Styela clava: one gene and its partner. The protein of the gene in region 1 binds, or shares a complex with, the protein of each later gene. Links are inferred from orthologs where the notes say so. Each region holds a gene or a part of one and is shown on either strand. Other genes may lie near its edges.

What was found.
Region 2: the proteins of condensin-2 complex subunit D3-L-like (region 1) and condensin-2 complex subunit H2-like are in contact, whole or in part, in a cryo-EM structure (PDB 9F5W), measured with the Homo sapiens proteins. The link is inferred for Styela clava from reciprocal best matches to the Homo sapiens genes NCAPD3 and NCAPH2. Residues at the interface, in NP_056076.1 of Homo sapiens: Arg589, Pro591, Met629, Glu680, Arg683, Tyr684, His690, Lys724, Glu793, Asp800, Gln803, Arg804, Arg807, Gln817, Leu820, Gln865, Leu866, Cys867, Pro868, Ala869, Arg870, Val871, Val918, Ile925, Lys929, Leu932, Gln933, His934, Ala956, Asn960; in NP_689512.2 of Homo sapiens: Trp22, Ser68, Lys69, Glu72, Tyr75, Tyr79, Leu82, Asp83, Ser86, Ile144, Ile145, Pro146, Leu147, Leu148, Met150, Ala151, Leu152, Val153, Asp156, Glu159, Asn161, Asn162, Asn163, Pro164, Leu165, Tyr166, Ser167, Arg168, Gly170, Leu173.

Annotation. Positions count from the first base shown.
Region 1 is NC_135257.1:9,712,013-9,720,090, reverse strand, and holds the start of condensin-2 complex subunit D3-L-like, read left to right. Parts: upstream 1-4,970; 5' UTR 4,971-6,059; intron 6,060-6,502; 5' UTR 6,503-6,561; coding exon 6,562-8,078.
Region 2 is NC_135251.1:18,726,700-18,734,438, forward strand, and holds condensin-2 complex subunit H2-like, read right to left. Parts: upstream 3,050-7,739; 5' UTR 2,411-3,049; coding exon 608-2,410; 3' UTR 607-607; downstream 1-606. UniProt on the Homo sapiens protein: Regulatory subunit of the condensin-2 complex, a complex that seems to provide chromosomes with an additional level of organization and rigidity and in establishing mitotic chromosome architecture.

The DNA of each region.
Region 1 (8,078 bases):
GCTCATTGACACCGCTGTTTACTCGTCGTTGCAGGAAGATTCGAACATTTCGGGGCTGCATCCTGTTCCAGTGCCACTCCGTACTGCCGGTTGCGAGTCATTGGTGTCTCATGGTGTACTTGATGTCAACCTGACGATTGAAAGCTGGTCTGTGGAGCATACAGTTGTGGTCGCCGATCCAGGGTCACGTGCGGGTGTCTCGCTCATAGACACCGCTGTTTACTTGACGTTGCGGGAAATTCGGTTCGGGTGTCTCGCTCATAGACACCGCTGTTTACTCGACGTTGCAGGAAATTCGGACATTTCAGAACTGTATTCTTTTCCAGTACCATTGCGTACTGCCAGTGGCGAGTCGTTAGTGTCTCATGGTGCACTTGATGTCAACCTGACGATTGAAAGCTGGCCTGTGGAGCATACCGTTGCCGTCGCCGATCTAGGGTCACGGATGGACTATCTTGGCAAATTCGTCGCATCGTTTTGTTCTTGAGGGACAGGATGTTAACAGCTTCTCCCTGCTGTCATGGGACTATAGTTGAAGTTGTGGTTATACCGGCCGCTCGGGACTGGTTGTTCTAGTTCAGCTGCAACAGCCTTGGCCGTCCGGAGATCTAACATAGTAGCCGTTGTTGAGCCAATGGAGATATGCAACATCAATTTGGTCGTTTCGATGACGTTGGTGGACTCAATCCCGAATGACAAACTTTACGGATGCTTAAGCGTGAGGGTAAACGGCCTGCATATTTTAAAGACATTTGTGGACATAATTTGGTTTTGACTACTGCTTTTCGTGTTTCAAATATTTTTTTTAGAGATGAAAACATTCTTTCATAATGTTCCATCTAGAAGAGGGGGGTAATGTGACGACCCTTGTTTTGCCTGTTAAATGACTTCATGTAATATGCTTCCATATTTGGTATTCTAGGACCCTTGTTTTATCTGTTAAATGACGTCATGTGATATCGTTTCCATATTTGGTATTCTAGCAGTTTAGACGCTGCGACACGGTTGATCGGTTCTCTTGGACAGCGTGGTCTGTTGGTGTATGCTGTGTGTGACAGAGTGCAGTCGTCTGAGTGTTTCGGTTAGATTGGTGGGTTTTGAATGTCTGTGCGAATGCCTCTGGTCTTCAGGAATGTTTGTCTGTGTTGTGTGACTGTCGGATGTTTTGTGCTGGACAGTGGGCTGACGTAGGGACCATGTCTGCATGTTATTGTTTTTACCAGTACAGTGCCATTACAGTTCATTTACCGTAGTGTTGTATTTTCAGTTTTATCGTGGAATTAGCTTTCATCAGTATTGTTCAAATGTTGTGCACCTATAGAATTGTTCATAGTTTTTATAAATGCCTGTCATAAGTTACTTTCGGCCTGTTTTGCAAATTGCAGTAGCTAGTTCATTGTACCAGATTCTAGGGGTCATTTGGTTTTATATTCAGAGTTGTCTGGGATTTCAGGGTTGGTCAGTGTTTTTGTTGTGTATGTGGTCTTTCTTGCATTTTACTGCCTGGTATCTGTTATTTTTATTTTATGCTTTTCGTTCCTTTGGGGAGTGTTTGGTTGTTTTGGATCGTTTACTGTTCGAGTTGTTAATAAATGACATAAAATAGCACAAAGACTTGGACTATTGAGAGAAAACTTGACGTCAGATCATATTAGAAGATATTCTGAACCTGGATAATTATTTCATACATTGCCGGTACGCTACACATGTATAGATCAGTAAAAAAACAAATGACAGATTTTTTCGACAAGACATTTTGCACTACATTGCGTGGCATAGGATTGCTTGAATTATTATTGATATTGATTTTTAGTAACTAAGTCGTTGTATAATTATATTAATATACAAACACATGGAAATTTTCTGTTCGAAGTTGGTCTTCGAATTTGTCATATTGACTGCTGAGCTTATTGTGTGTTTTGATTGTATTGATGGAAATATGACAAATTTAACAATGTGCTTCAGAATTTTGTGAAGAGCAGAAATGTTACAGCTCCCATTTTCTTCGAAAATGCCACCTTCTTCATGTACTTTGCGTTTAATTTAATTACTCAAGTGCTACCATTCGTGCTACGCCTTGAAAGCAGCACACATCCGCTCGTTTTCGTCTCGTCAAGTATGTGCATTGGAGCGTGCTATCGAATACGATCTTCGGACAAAAATGCCGGAGTTGCGCATCATGTTGTTTAATGTCATTGTTCAGAGTAAATAGTTCATCTATTTTCAGTTCCACCATCCGAGTGTGCGAAGGAAAGAGATTCCATGCAAGTCTGTGTATCTGGGACGTTGTCTAACCTGTAATCGGTTTTCACTTGTAACCGGCGACAAAGTGGTCCGTCATAAATTATAACATGTTTTTCTTAAGCGAACAACGATCTCCAACCACTGGAAATTTCAAAGAAATTGGTGTGGTAGTTGAACAACAACGTGGTCCGTCATAAATTATAACATGTTTTTCTTAAGCGAACAACGATCTCCAACCACTGGAAATTTCGAAGAAATTGGTCTGGTAGTTGAACAACAAATATAAAAACAAGAAAAAGAATACAGCCAACAACAAACAATCCATAGGTCTACCTCATGTCAAATAATAAGAAATCATATCCTTGATTAATCAATGAAAATTTATATATTAGTATTTATTTTTTGCCTAAATTATGGAAATATATCATATTTTACGACGCATCACCGCAAGCTGTCGCATGATACCAACTTGTACGTTGGCGGGTTTTGCGAATTTGCGCGGTTTACCCTTTAGAATGGGAAATAACATGTAATATTAATCGGATGGGACATTCGATTATAGTACCGGTATCGTGGTTAGACAAATAAATAATAGAATAATACTGATAAAGTTTTAAAAAGTATTAATGGGGAAAGACTTGTAGGCGCGGCGGTGTGGCTCAACGGGTTAAGCGTTACAGCGTTAGGAATACGCTCGCCACCGCACCTCTAATTACTCTGCGTGGGTTCGCAGGTTCGATTCCCATGCAGGGATGGTTATGTGCGAGAGGATTGCTGGACTCCTCGCCGTCGTTGGGTGGTTCACGTAACCGCTGGTCGGTTACGGCTTCCTCCACCACCAAGTCCATGCTTCCGAAAACAAACAATACAGTATAACTAACTAATCCCATACCCGACTTGGAATGGTAACCGGACGAGAGGCCGTGGTTCGCCATATGGATAAGCCGTCTTATCGGCTTTCCTCTCCCCCGGGATAAATATGTAAATCCTATCCTATCCTATCCTCCTAATTATCCGTAATTCAAATCTCAGTATAACTTGTAACAGTATTCATAATAAAATTTTGGCAAATTATACGAGGACCTTCAACTATAAGTTAATATGGGATATTCTACCCTTGAAAACAAAACCAGAGATCAAAAGAGTAGCAGGAAATGAATTATGTTTATTATGTAATATAGAACCTGAGTTTGTGTCACATATTTTTATGTTTTGTGAGTTTACTCAGAAAATTTATGATGATTTTGTTTCCTTAATTATATTAAAATTAATTAGAATAAATTTTGTTATAAATTATGATTCTTGTATATTATTGAATTTTAATGATCCTTTATTTAGTCATATAACAGCATTAGATTTGAATGCAATTATTCTTTTATTATCAATAGTGCGATATAAAATTTGGATAATGAGAAATTCTATAATATTTGAAAATAAAACACCTGACATTGCTCTCCTTAAAAAACAGATAAAAATGGCCCTAATGTATAGAAAAAATATAGAAAATTCCAGAGTAGACAAACTCTTTGAAAAAGAATTACAAAATTTATGTAAAGCATTAATTTAGATATTAAATCAGGTTTATAATAAGTTTTTTGTATTTACTAATTTTGTGTTTTTCCTTTTTTATTGTATTATATCATTGTAATTATTAAAATAACATTATTATCGTTGGATACTTATTACTGATGAAACAAACTGGAAATACTGTGAAACTCAATTTAACAAATGGATCATGAATGGAATGTGGACTATAATTTATTTTATTTGTTTATTTATTTTTTACATATTTATTGAAATCACTCAATGAGTGAACCAATTAAAAAAAAAAAAAAAAACCTTGTGTAAGGTTTTGCTTGCTCTTTTAATTTCATAATCATTTTTTATTTATTTGTTTTTATCAATCATTTTATCGCCTGTTACCGGTATCTGGTTATGCTGAATATGGAGTTGAAATAAACTTATACTGGGTACCTGTCGCACGCCTTTCAAACATTTCCACAATCCACACAAATTGATTAGAAGCCGCAGTCTGATCGCAATCTAACATGGGATTTAATATAGTCTACGATGCCACGCATATGTTCTTACTTACACCGCAAAGAGCACGAAACAGCGCAAAACAGTGGGGAAAGAGCGCAAAACAGAGGGAAACAGTGTAAAGCAGAAAAAAATTTTGCAATGAGTTCGGGACACCTTGTTTTGAGTTGGAGTACCACGGCAGCAAATTAAAAACACAAACCAACGTATGTAGCCAGTAATGCTGTAATGGCAGGTCTGCCCCTGCTGGTGACACATTTTGGGTACCATAATTTAGAACATTTTACATATGGATATGGTTGGCTTTAGGGTTAGGGCTAGGTAAAAAGGGACCTCCAGAAGTATGTGCACCAAGATGGCGCACAACCTAAAAATAGTATCTGTTTGTGTGTAGCGGATTCAGGTTGTGCGACATATTGCTGCACACACACACACACCAAAAAGGTAGATAAAATTTCGCATGATGACCTATAATCCGGTACATAACCTTGTAAATATACCGGAAATAGCGCCATAAAACCATGGCGAGAGGCGCCGTGGTTCTTTCGTGGCAGAAGGTGGTAATGACTGCGTCTCCTGTTTTGCGCTGTTTCTCTTCTGTTTTGCGCTGGTTTCCATCTGTTTCGCGCTGTTTTCCTCTGTTTCGCGCTCTTTGCGGTGTTTCGCGCTGTATTCAGTAAGTAGTAAGACCCGACTGGCTGTAATAACTTTTGAATGTAAATTAATTGTATACCGGTACTTAGACTATAATTGATAGTTTGAATGTGTATGATGTCAAAATGGCAAACATAGGCATATGAAATTGTTGCTGTTCTGTATGACAAAATTATAAAAAATCTTAATGCGATAATATCGGAAAGGCAGGTAGCCTAATTAAGTTATCTGTAATTCAAATACTGAAATAAGAGTAATTTCTCAATTTGCATTAGTAGACTATTCCATGTATTCCTAATGAAATTTTCGCAAATTATGTTAACACTTTTTAAATCACTTTGGGGTATGTTGCTATTAAATACAAAAACAGAGATTAAAAGAATAGTAGAAAATGAAATGTATTTTTAGGCCTAATGTACCGGTAATAAAGAATCAGAGTTTGTATCACATATTTCTATGTCTTGCAGTCTTGTGAACTTGCACAGAAAATCTATGATGATTTTGTTTGTTTAATTATATTAAAATTAATTAGAATACATTTGGTTATAAATTATGATTCCGGCATGTTATGTAATTTTACCCTTATTCAGTCATACCACCACTGTAGATTTGAATGCAACTATTCTTTTGTTATCAATAGTGCGATATAAAATTTGGATGATGAAAAAATTCTTTTTTTTTTTCAAACCGTATTGCTCTCCACAAAAAGCAGATAAAAATGTCCATAATGTGTAGAAACAATATAGAAAATTCTTGAGTTAACAAACCCTTACAAAAAGAAATTAAAGAATTTAAATTAAAGAACCCTTAAAGAAATTACAAAATTTATTCGATGCATTATTTCAAATAGGGAATTAAATGTCTATGATATATTTTTTGCATTTCCCAATTTTCTCCCTTTTTTTTTATTGTTTTTTCAATGTGAAAAATATCCCAAATTTTTATTTCTTTATTCAAATAAAAATCTGTCTTGCAGAGAACGCCAGACCCTATTTGACTTGGGATATACCGGTACCTGCTTATTTGAAAATTGAGTAGGATTCGTTTTAACTAATCTTCAACGCATCTGTCAAGAATTTCATTTCGTATTAGATATGTGTAATCTTTCCATTTTACTTACGGTAACAATAAATATCTTACATCACATTTTTGTTAGGAGTCATTGTGTTATTTACTGATATAAACAGTTGTGGCGTTTACTGTGCTAGACCCCTATTATTAAATTATTCCTACAATAATGTACTACTGTACCATATCTTCATGTATATATTCTGTATCTCATGTCTTCGTCGTACAGAATACATTCTGTTTTCATACAGTTTTGCTTGCTTGCTTTAGGCTGTCTACAAGTTTTCATTTGCTATTCTATGGGCCTATCTTTCATATTTCAATAAGAATTATTTAATAAGACTTAGGAATTAATGCTAATGGTTGCTTTAATGCCCACAATTAATGCTTGCTTTATTTATGTCACTATCATTCATCTGTGAACATTATTTTTCAATGTATTGATAAAGGGATTTTTTCAATAATGTTGTTGTAATCTCCCCCTGCCTTTTCACAGAACGCAATTGATTTTTTACTGAATCTGACAAATAAAGCAGTCATTCAGTCACAATCACAATGAATGAGAACTTGATCTTGGATATATTTCAATCGTTGGAACTGACAAATCTAGATGAGGAATGGGTTGATCGAATGCATTCATCAGAATTTACAGATGACCCAGAAATTGACATTGACATACCTTCTTCAGCTATCAATAACCTGGAAGACTTGAATTTAGCACTTCGAAATGGATCTAAGCTACTTGCGAACTTGTCTGGTCAAACAAGGTGCTCTTTGTTGAATGAACTTCTTAAAATTGGAATTACAAGTAAAGTCATTCAGTCTTGGATATATTATCTTTTCCACGTTGGTCTGAAAATGTCTGCTAGCTTTGAGCAGACACTATTATGTTTACTTGCAGCGGACTTTTACTTTTTGCTACTTCAGTTGCCTGGTATGAGTTCATCACAATTACATCATGCTATACTTTTTGAAAAAGCTGTGAATTCTCTACAGATGGTGACACAAGTTGATGCCACAATGTCTGAAGAAGTAGGACGCAAAAGAAAAGCAAATGTACCCCTAAGTCAATCACAGAAGCGGCGAAAGGCGAGCAATGATAAGAATACACAAGAAGAAGAAGATCATGGCAATGTTGTTATAACTCCATCGCAAATGGCAAATCTTTACAGGCTCCTTAATTTAACATTGACTGATTTCTGTAAATATTTAGCATCTGTTTCATTGAGGTCTAATGAGGTGTCGTTGAAACATGCTATGCAAGTCTTGGTGAAAATTGCAAATTGTTTGAAAACGAATGCTCCAATAAGCATTATAGATTACAAAAGTTTTCGTAGTGATGGTTCTACTGCGGACAGTTTTAGACTCCCATATCAACAAGCTGTTTATGCCTTGTTTTTGACAATTTCAGTAAAACATGGTGATGTTCATCAGTTGTGTTTGACCTTATTTCGATTCATTTTGCCCATAATTATAATGAGAGATGCTAACATTCCATCGTCTACTGTTTCACGATCCTTCTTTCAAAACTCGGAAATATTCCGAAAACTTGTTTGTCATTTGTTTGATGTTCATGGAGATTCCGTTTCCCATAGTATATCTGTACTGACACAAAACTTGATTGCTCAGTGTCCTGATCGTACAGAATTTCGCAATCATCTTGCAACCATCGTATCATGTATTTTGCAGCACATGCCTACAAATTGGTATGCTGACTTCTGTGATTGGCTCAGAAGAATGGCAGTACATTCAAAAATTGTATATCGAAGTAATACACTGGCAACTGTGGGGAAATTGCTTTGTATGCCCGAGCGTCTGAATGATGAGAATGATTCTCTCGATCCAGACACTCTTGTTTCCACAAAGCACAGCTATTTGCTAAAGATAGTTGTTGGAAGATTGTTAGATGTGTCTCCATCTGTGCGATCGAGAGCTTTGCATGTTCTTGTTGAAATGATGGAGGAGGGGATTGTTTCTCCAACAGCGCTACAGGAGGTCGTGGATGCAAGAGGAAAAGATTTAGAATCTGAAACACCTGCAACCAATGCATCAGCTAGAGGAAAATCCAGCAC
Region 2 (7,739 bases), on another chromosome or scaffold:
TTGAATCACCTGTGGTGGTTCACCTCATTTGGATTTCCATCCTCTGTGCGTGTAACTAACAAATAAACTCTCTCTCTCTCTCTATTATATTGATTTTATACTATGGCGGAGTCAGCTATTGATAATGACTAATGACCATCTATTTGAGAAATGCTTTTAATGAGAAAGTGTTAGTGGGTTATCGTCCTTATCGAAGAAAGAAATTCTATATAACAGATGCATATTATTTTACAACAATTTACTAACTAACAAAATTTCTTAAATCAAAGCACCAAATCAAATTTGTGTCAATGTTTCCCAACATGTGTTTGAATGCAAAAATACAAAGAGACTATCAAAAGAGGCTTGGATTCGATATGGCCCATAAAAAGTGAAAAAAAAGAAGTAAAATAAATATGTGAATGTGAAAATGATAACCACCCCTTGGAAATAACACAAAAGTTGAGATAACTCCCAATATCAACAAAAATGCCTAATTTGTGAGGCTGAAATAAAGAAAAAACAGAATAGCAATGATCATAAACAATAAACTTTTTAGGGCGTGATTTACCTAATAAAACTTTTTAAAACCGAAAATATAAGACGACTAGACGTTTTTCATCAAAATTTAGGATTTCGAAGAATAATCATCAAAACGTTCACAGAGTCTATGATGACTCAACAGCGTTAATTTCATTGTGTTAACAGACTTTTGGAAATCAGAATCTTTACTTATAAGAAAATTGTTGTCATTAACAAGCTGCAATGTAGCTGCAAATAGTCTACAAATGTACCATGAATTTGGCGATTCAATAGCATCTTCAAATAATTTAGTATCTTGTGGCTTTTCAAATTTTTTCAGCATCATTCCTCCATACTTATGGATGTCAAATTCCGGTCTTGAATTTTGTTCTGCAAGACGTGGAGTAATAGATTCATCCCATAACTTTACTCTTTGTGACAACGCAGTTTCTTCTTTGAAACGCCTAGCAGCAGAATAGAACATTTCAACATGGTGGCGAACGAGGTCTTCATAAGAAGTGGGACTGCTTACAGTTTCATGTGCAGTATGATTCCCCTTGCCTTGATTATCTACCACATCACCAATAAGGTCATCTAGGTCAGGTGAAAAATGATCCGAATGTATTGTCGAGTCATGATTCATTGGTTCAAGTTGTTCTTCTTCGCCAAACACCGCATCAGGGCCTACATCTTTTCCAGGCATTCCAAGTGAATGGTCAACATCACTTGTCATAGCTAATAGTTTTATATTTTTCCAAAGTAAAGCTCTTTCTTTAGTTTCTGCAGCTATGAATTTCTCAAGACATTTGTCATGATACTTAATGTCTCTCCTTTTCTTGTAACCTTTGTTCATTATGAAAAGTGATATTTCTTCAACTTTATCCACAGTCGGGCTGTTAATCTTTCTTTTTCTAGTGGTTTTAGATTGGCGAATAGAAGCTGGAATACAATGGGACCTGATTTTTTCATATTTTTTGACCGCAAAGCAAGGTATTCTACAATGCTCATGTGGATCAAGGATGGTGGGAAAAACTGGGGTTTCATGTATGGGTACAGGCTTGGCAAGAAACCTTTCTCTTAACTGCATTCTTTCTATAACAGTTTTTTCTTGTTCTAAATTTTCAACGAATGGAGGAGCATCATCCATGTCATCAGCAGCAGCTCCTGCATCCATGGACTCGTCCATTCCACCAAAATTATCCATTTCTTCTCGGACAGAATTTGTCTCCACAGGTTCTTCAGACCGAGAAAAAATGTTCATCGGAGCAATTTCTAATTCTTCTAATGATGGAACAATAATTTCATCCAAAAACCCACCTGAATCTCTATCAAGAACACTCATTCTTTTTTCAAATGGGATAAATCGATTCTCCCAAAAATCATTTGTGTAACAAACGGAGTCATTCTTGTTTTCAGACAATATCAATCTTCCTCTTTCATCATTATCATTTTCAAGCATTGCTGTAGGGGTTATAGGAATAGGTGTAATTGGGTCATAATTCGAAGTGAATTCTCTTTTCGAAGTTATTGCAACATCATTCAGATTTAGCAATTTTTCTTCATCATCGTCAAAATTGGGATCAATAGTTTTATCACTAGAAGAATTGTTGGGATTTTCATCGGGAACCTCTTTCTGTCTGTTTGTGATCATTTCTAGCGTCTGTTTTACAAGAACATATAAGTATTCAACTTTTTTACTCCATACACAGGCTGTACCTTGAATGAGCAAGGATGCTTCCGCAAAATTAAGCACAGTTTTTCCATTGTCAAATTCAAAAGTCATTTTTTCTAATTCTTCCATATATTCTTCCAAAACATGTGTTAAATCTATTTCCCAATTCTTAGTAATATCCTTTATTGGCTGTAGCAAGAAGCCATACTTTTTCTGAAGATCTTCTGATAACACCATATTTACGTTTAGGTTCCTCTAATTATCTTATGAGGAAACAATGATTGCAACTTGATTAAACAGAAATATACCATGATAAAAAAATACAGTGAAAAAGAACCATCACTCAGCTGTGATTAGTAAAGGTTGCAGAAATTGCTGAATTACACTCATAAGACTCATTACAGCATTAGGGAAAGAATTTTATTTAACACCCGTCACTAGGCATTTTTCACATATCAGAATTTCAAAATACATTCTTTCCTTACTTTTCCATGAATTGTCAGATTGTATACATAAAAGGACAATATATCTGTATATAGTCTTTTACTGTGATGTACAATTATAGAAAATTGTAGTACAGTAGTAAAGCCCTTAATGCAGCAAAAAGTAAATCTAAAGTCCAACTTTTTTGTTTTGCTCAAGTTAGTAAGTGCTGAAGAGTGTAAAGCAACACCTGACAGTCTGAACGTATCATGGATTCAGAAGCAGAAAGAAGGGAACAGAAAAAAAGCAAGTTAGGTTACCGTATGCAATACCCGTAGGTCCTATGATTACGAAATGTATTGTACCGTACCGGGCACCATCTTTGTCAAACGACGTCTAGTTGTCTGGACGTGTACCGTAGTGCTGTAGTGTGTATCACAAACCAGCAAACTGATATATTCAAATATAGTAAGCCTTTCTTTAGCTTGGACACGCTTGGCTGCAATTACATAAATATCACAGTAACGTATTTGCTATGAAAAGATACAGGTATAGCAGTCTACTAGGACAGAATGACCGAAGCACAGGCGACACAGCAAAAGCATAACTACCGCAACGTCTGAAATCCGGACACCTGAAAGCACAAAGTTTTTCTAAATGAGAACTTTCCCCGTTACGCATGACGAATTTGCCCGCCAATAGTTTTTGATGATTTGACTGCTTAGTAGTGTTGAGCACAAACAGGATTCAGGACTCCGAAAAACAGGACTCCGGCACGGTTTTCAACAAACAGGATCGGATCAGGAGTGGGAACATTCTTGGTTGCCCGGAGTCAATCAGGAGTCCCAACTAAATCTATAATATACCGTGACCGATAGAAGTACCGTACGTCTGTACGTACCGGTGCAGGCATAATTTGAACGGACTTGAATTATCTGTACCGGTACCGTACCGTACATAAATATTAATACATATTCGTGCTTCTTCAGGATGCTACCGGTACCGTAAAAGCGCCTAACTTCGGACAGTCCCTAACTTCGGACAAAATTTTTGAACGGCCATATCTTGGCTAAAACGCGCCGTATATTGCTAATTTCAATTATTACTGTATTATAGGTTGCGCTGTTATATCTACATCTATTCTCATCTTTTTTAATGTTGCATAATTATTTTTTTGGTAAAAAAACGTAAATTTTGCCTAAAATTGACTGCCCGGCATTCAACGGCGCAGAGCGTCGCTCCTACTGAAGCTATCGTCGTCAAAATACCATCATTCGGTAGAGGGCGACAACAATGTATATAATTTATTTGAGTGATCGCAAGATGTCGTACGAGATTTAAATAAAACCTAAAATTCTAAATTATAAATTCCGTAAGAATATTAAGATTTCACGCAGCGTCAAAAATTACGTCAACCTCACGTAGATTATTTTTCGCTCACTTCCGAAACGACGTCACACTGCGTCGCGGAAATGAATTTTGACGCCAGACACAACGGAGCCAATATGACAATTTCCGTTAAGATAAAGACGGCGTTCCAACGTAATATTTTTGTATTTTGTTCGGTCATGTATGAATATATGCCAAAATTACATTAATGAAAATAAATGTCACACTTAATCGATGACGTTAAAAATCGAATATATAAAACTATGATAATTCCAACGTCCATATGGCACAGTGCACTGACTTAGCCATTATTTTATGATTAGTAGTCGAAATGACAGTCATTGAATACGGCCTGGGTGAATTTTATTCACTCGAAATTAAATCTCCAACAAATAAACGGGACCTACATGTTCACAAGATTAAGTTGAATTTTAAATTAAACTTTACAATCGGATTTACCTTGTGTTTGATATAAATTATCATTTATAAAGATAACCGCGCAGAATAAAAAAAGCTATCTGTCGAGAATATTTAATACTTCAAAGACTTCCATAGAAGCCCGTTAAAATACTTAATTGTGGATTGAAACGGGCCGCATCAGATATATTTACGTATGCATTTCCTGATTAAAATGACTAACGTGTTATTATACTCATCGGAAGTATCGAAAATAACGAACGAAAGATGTAAACATAGGACGACGGAAGTTTCAAATAATGCATTTTCGTCGTGACGTCAATGTTACGTTACGACGACGATCGAGCGTCTTATCTTCACGCAACGACGTGATTACGTCATCCGCATCGGAAGCCTCTTTCTCTCTGTGCGTCGCGGTTACGCAGTGAAGAAAATGACTGTCCGAAGTTAGGGCAGTGAAGGATAACGGTCAGATGGCAAGAAATATCGATTATTTCAATAGTAAAAATAGTCCAATTGAACCGAAATTTGCAGGGAATGTAAATTACCGCACGAATGTTTTACCGAGCAATTTTGGCACCGTTTGGACAATAAATGGCCGAGTTATTGACGAAAGTATAGTAATTTTGTCCGAAGTTAGGCGCTTTTACGGTACCATTTATGAATCTGTGTTTACCACTTCTGTATCGGTACAAGCCTGAACTGGGTGTTTTATAATTTTAAACAGAGTTCTGGTGTTCTGTGTTTGGATGCGGTTGTCGGGTTGTAGCGAATACCGGTACCGGAACTCACATGCAGACATGCCTGTACCGGTATGTGTCGTGAATTTGGTGTGCATTACCAAGGAAATGCATCCTATACTGTTCACTGTTATGTAGAACACTCACTGTATAATCAACAGATGGAACATGCTCTTGGCGAAGAATAATGTTGAATACTTGAATGTAATTGTGGCTATGAAGCATCAGTTCTATGCAGACTTTGCAATATTTAAATGTGATTGTAGTGAACACTGAATTAATGGGGTGAGCAAGCCTCAAGCAAAATATTATTCTATGACTATAACTAATTTTTTATACGATCCCTGAATTTTGTTATGTCATTGAACATAGTAATGAGTGTGCGCTAGTGTGACTTTGCAATGTTTAGATGCTGCTGTAGTGAACACTATAATCCTAATAATTGCTTTTATGAGTGTCCGCACACCGAATTTGCCGCCATGGTTTTGCGTTTGTTTGTATATTAAACACTTATCACCTTTTCCGCAATGCCCAATTTAGCAATCAGTGTAGTTTTTCATGGCTTGGTTTCTCTTAAAGCTTTCATGGCTTCATGAGTATGACTATCGTCGCAAATTTATTACATTCCACTCCCCACATTATCTTTGCATGAGGTTGTAGGTATTGGTCATTGTCAACGTAATTGTTGAAAGAGAGTACAACAGCCCGAAAGTTTATTACTATCGTGTATTTTGTTTTTTAAGTTTGGCCCAAGCCTCATTTAATTGGGCTTGTGTTTTTGTGTGCGTGCTGGTGGGCAGGCACATGAGATACTTCATGTTTTAAACTTTTTTGTAGGTTTTGCTTGCCCTCCAGAATTCTCCATTTTAAATTCAGGTTTGTTATGGAGTTTTCGAAATAAACTATCTATCTAACTATCTATCTATCTATAGTCAGTCCCCCCAGTTGATCCCCCATAGTCCCCCCCCATAGTCAGTGGTTTTAGTTTTAGCAATGTTTAAATGTGAGTTTGGGAAACATAATAATGAATATTTTCAGATATTCTCAAATGTTTCAGATGTCAGGATGGAAAAACATCATAAAATACATCAGCGCAGCCAGTTTTTGATGTTGCTGCTGTAGTGAACACTAAATTTGGTCAATATTAGATTTGTCAACAGGAGCGAAACAGGAGTCATAGTTTTCTTTGTTCGGAGTCGGACTCCGAGTTCGAATTTTGATTTCGGATCAGGACGGAGTCGGAGTCTGAAAATTCTGACTCCGCTCATCTCTGCTGCTTAGTGGTTGCTTCTTGCTTGCCTCAACTTTTCTGCGACGGATTTTCTTATGGCGGATTGATTTTTACTGGATGTTTTTGCTTATATTGCTTGGACGATTTGTGCAGAGAATTGCGTGTTTGAAAACCCGTGACTTGCAGAGTCGTTCACTTGGCCACATGAGTATGTTTTTGTGTACCTGGTACGTCCTTTTTCAATATAGCAAAGTCTGAAAGTTATACGCCTGAAAGCCATGGTTCGTTTAAACATTAATGATTTGGTGATCCTTTGTGCTGTAGTCTACTCTATCATACAGCTAGCGTTATAAAGAGATGTGTAATCGTTAGTATGATAACTGGAACAATTTTTCTGAGGGTAGTAAGATAATACTGCTCCCTTAATTCAAACGAATTTTGAGAAAAAAATAATTAAAAACCTTGTCACCAGTGACGCAGCAAAGTTATAAGTCCGTATATCGGCACAACTGTTGCACCCTTCAATCCTTGAAACCATAAAAACTTGTCTTGCCTAGTCTATATAGAATAAATTTTGTTATCCAGTTATCTGTATGAACAAAAATTCACATGGCTAACAAACAGCTATATTGGATAAACAAGAAATAAAACCTATAAAGTCTACATATAAAAATTTATATTAGCTATGACTGTATGAAGCTTGGAAAAAACATAATATTCTGGTATTTGTGCCTCAAAGAAGGTCAAGAATTGCCATGGTTTTACTCCACTTTATACAAAACACTGCCAATCTGAATGAGTATTATTACTACTAAATACTATTCAGTTATTATTTAAAGCAAAAACATTTTTAACACCAGTTTTCAAAAATAAATTGTTATGAAATAGTAAAGACTAAAATAAGGGCTATGCAGTTATAATATGGTAATCATCATAGATAATAGAATATAAGTCTTCGCACAAAGATATGTCTCTGAACCCAATATAGTTTTATGACGAAAATATGAACTAATATCTGGGGTAGGTATGGTCAGACTAGGTCCCATACAAATTCATATAGCAAAGAGGCATCATGGGAGCGTGACTGTTGGCAGTAATCTCAGTACAAGGGCATAATAATTTACAATTTGATTATTCCTGTGTTATGATAGGGTTTTTTATACCGTGCTTGTTTCTACATTTTGCTTTGAACAAGGCCCTGTACAAGCAGCTACGAATATCTAAAAAGCCACTATTTCGGGGAGGGCTCGGCGGTGTGGCGCATCTCTGGCCCTTCGTGGGATCGCAGGTTCGACCTGGACCAGTAACCGGACGAGAGGCAGTAGCTCACCATATGATTAATATATGACTTCTTATCGCCTTTCCT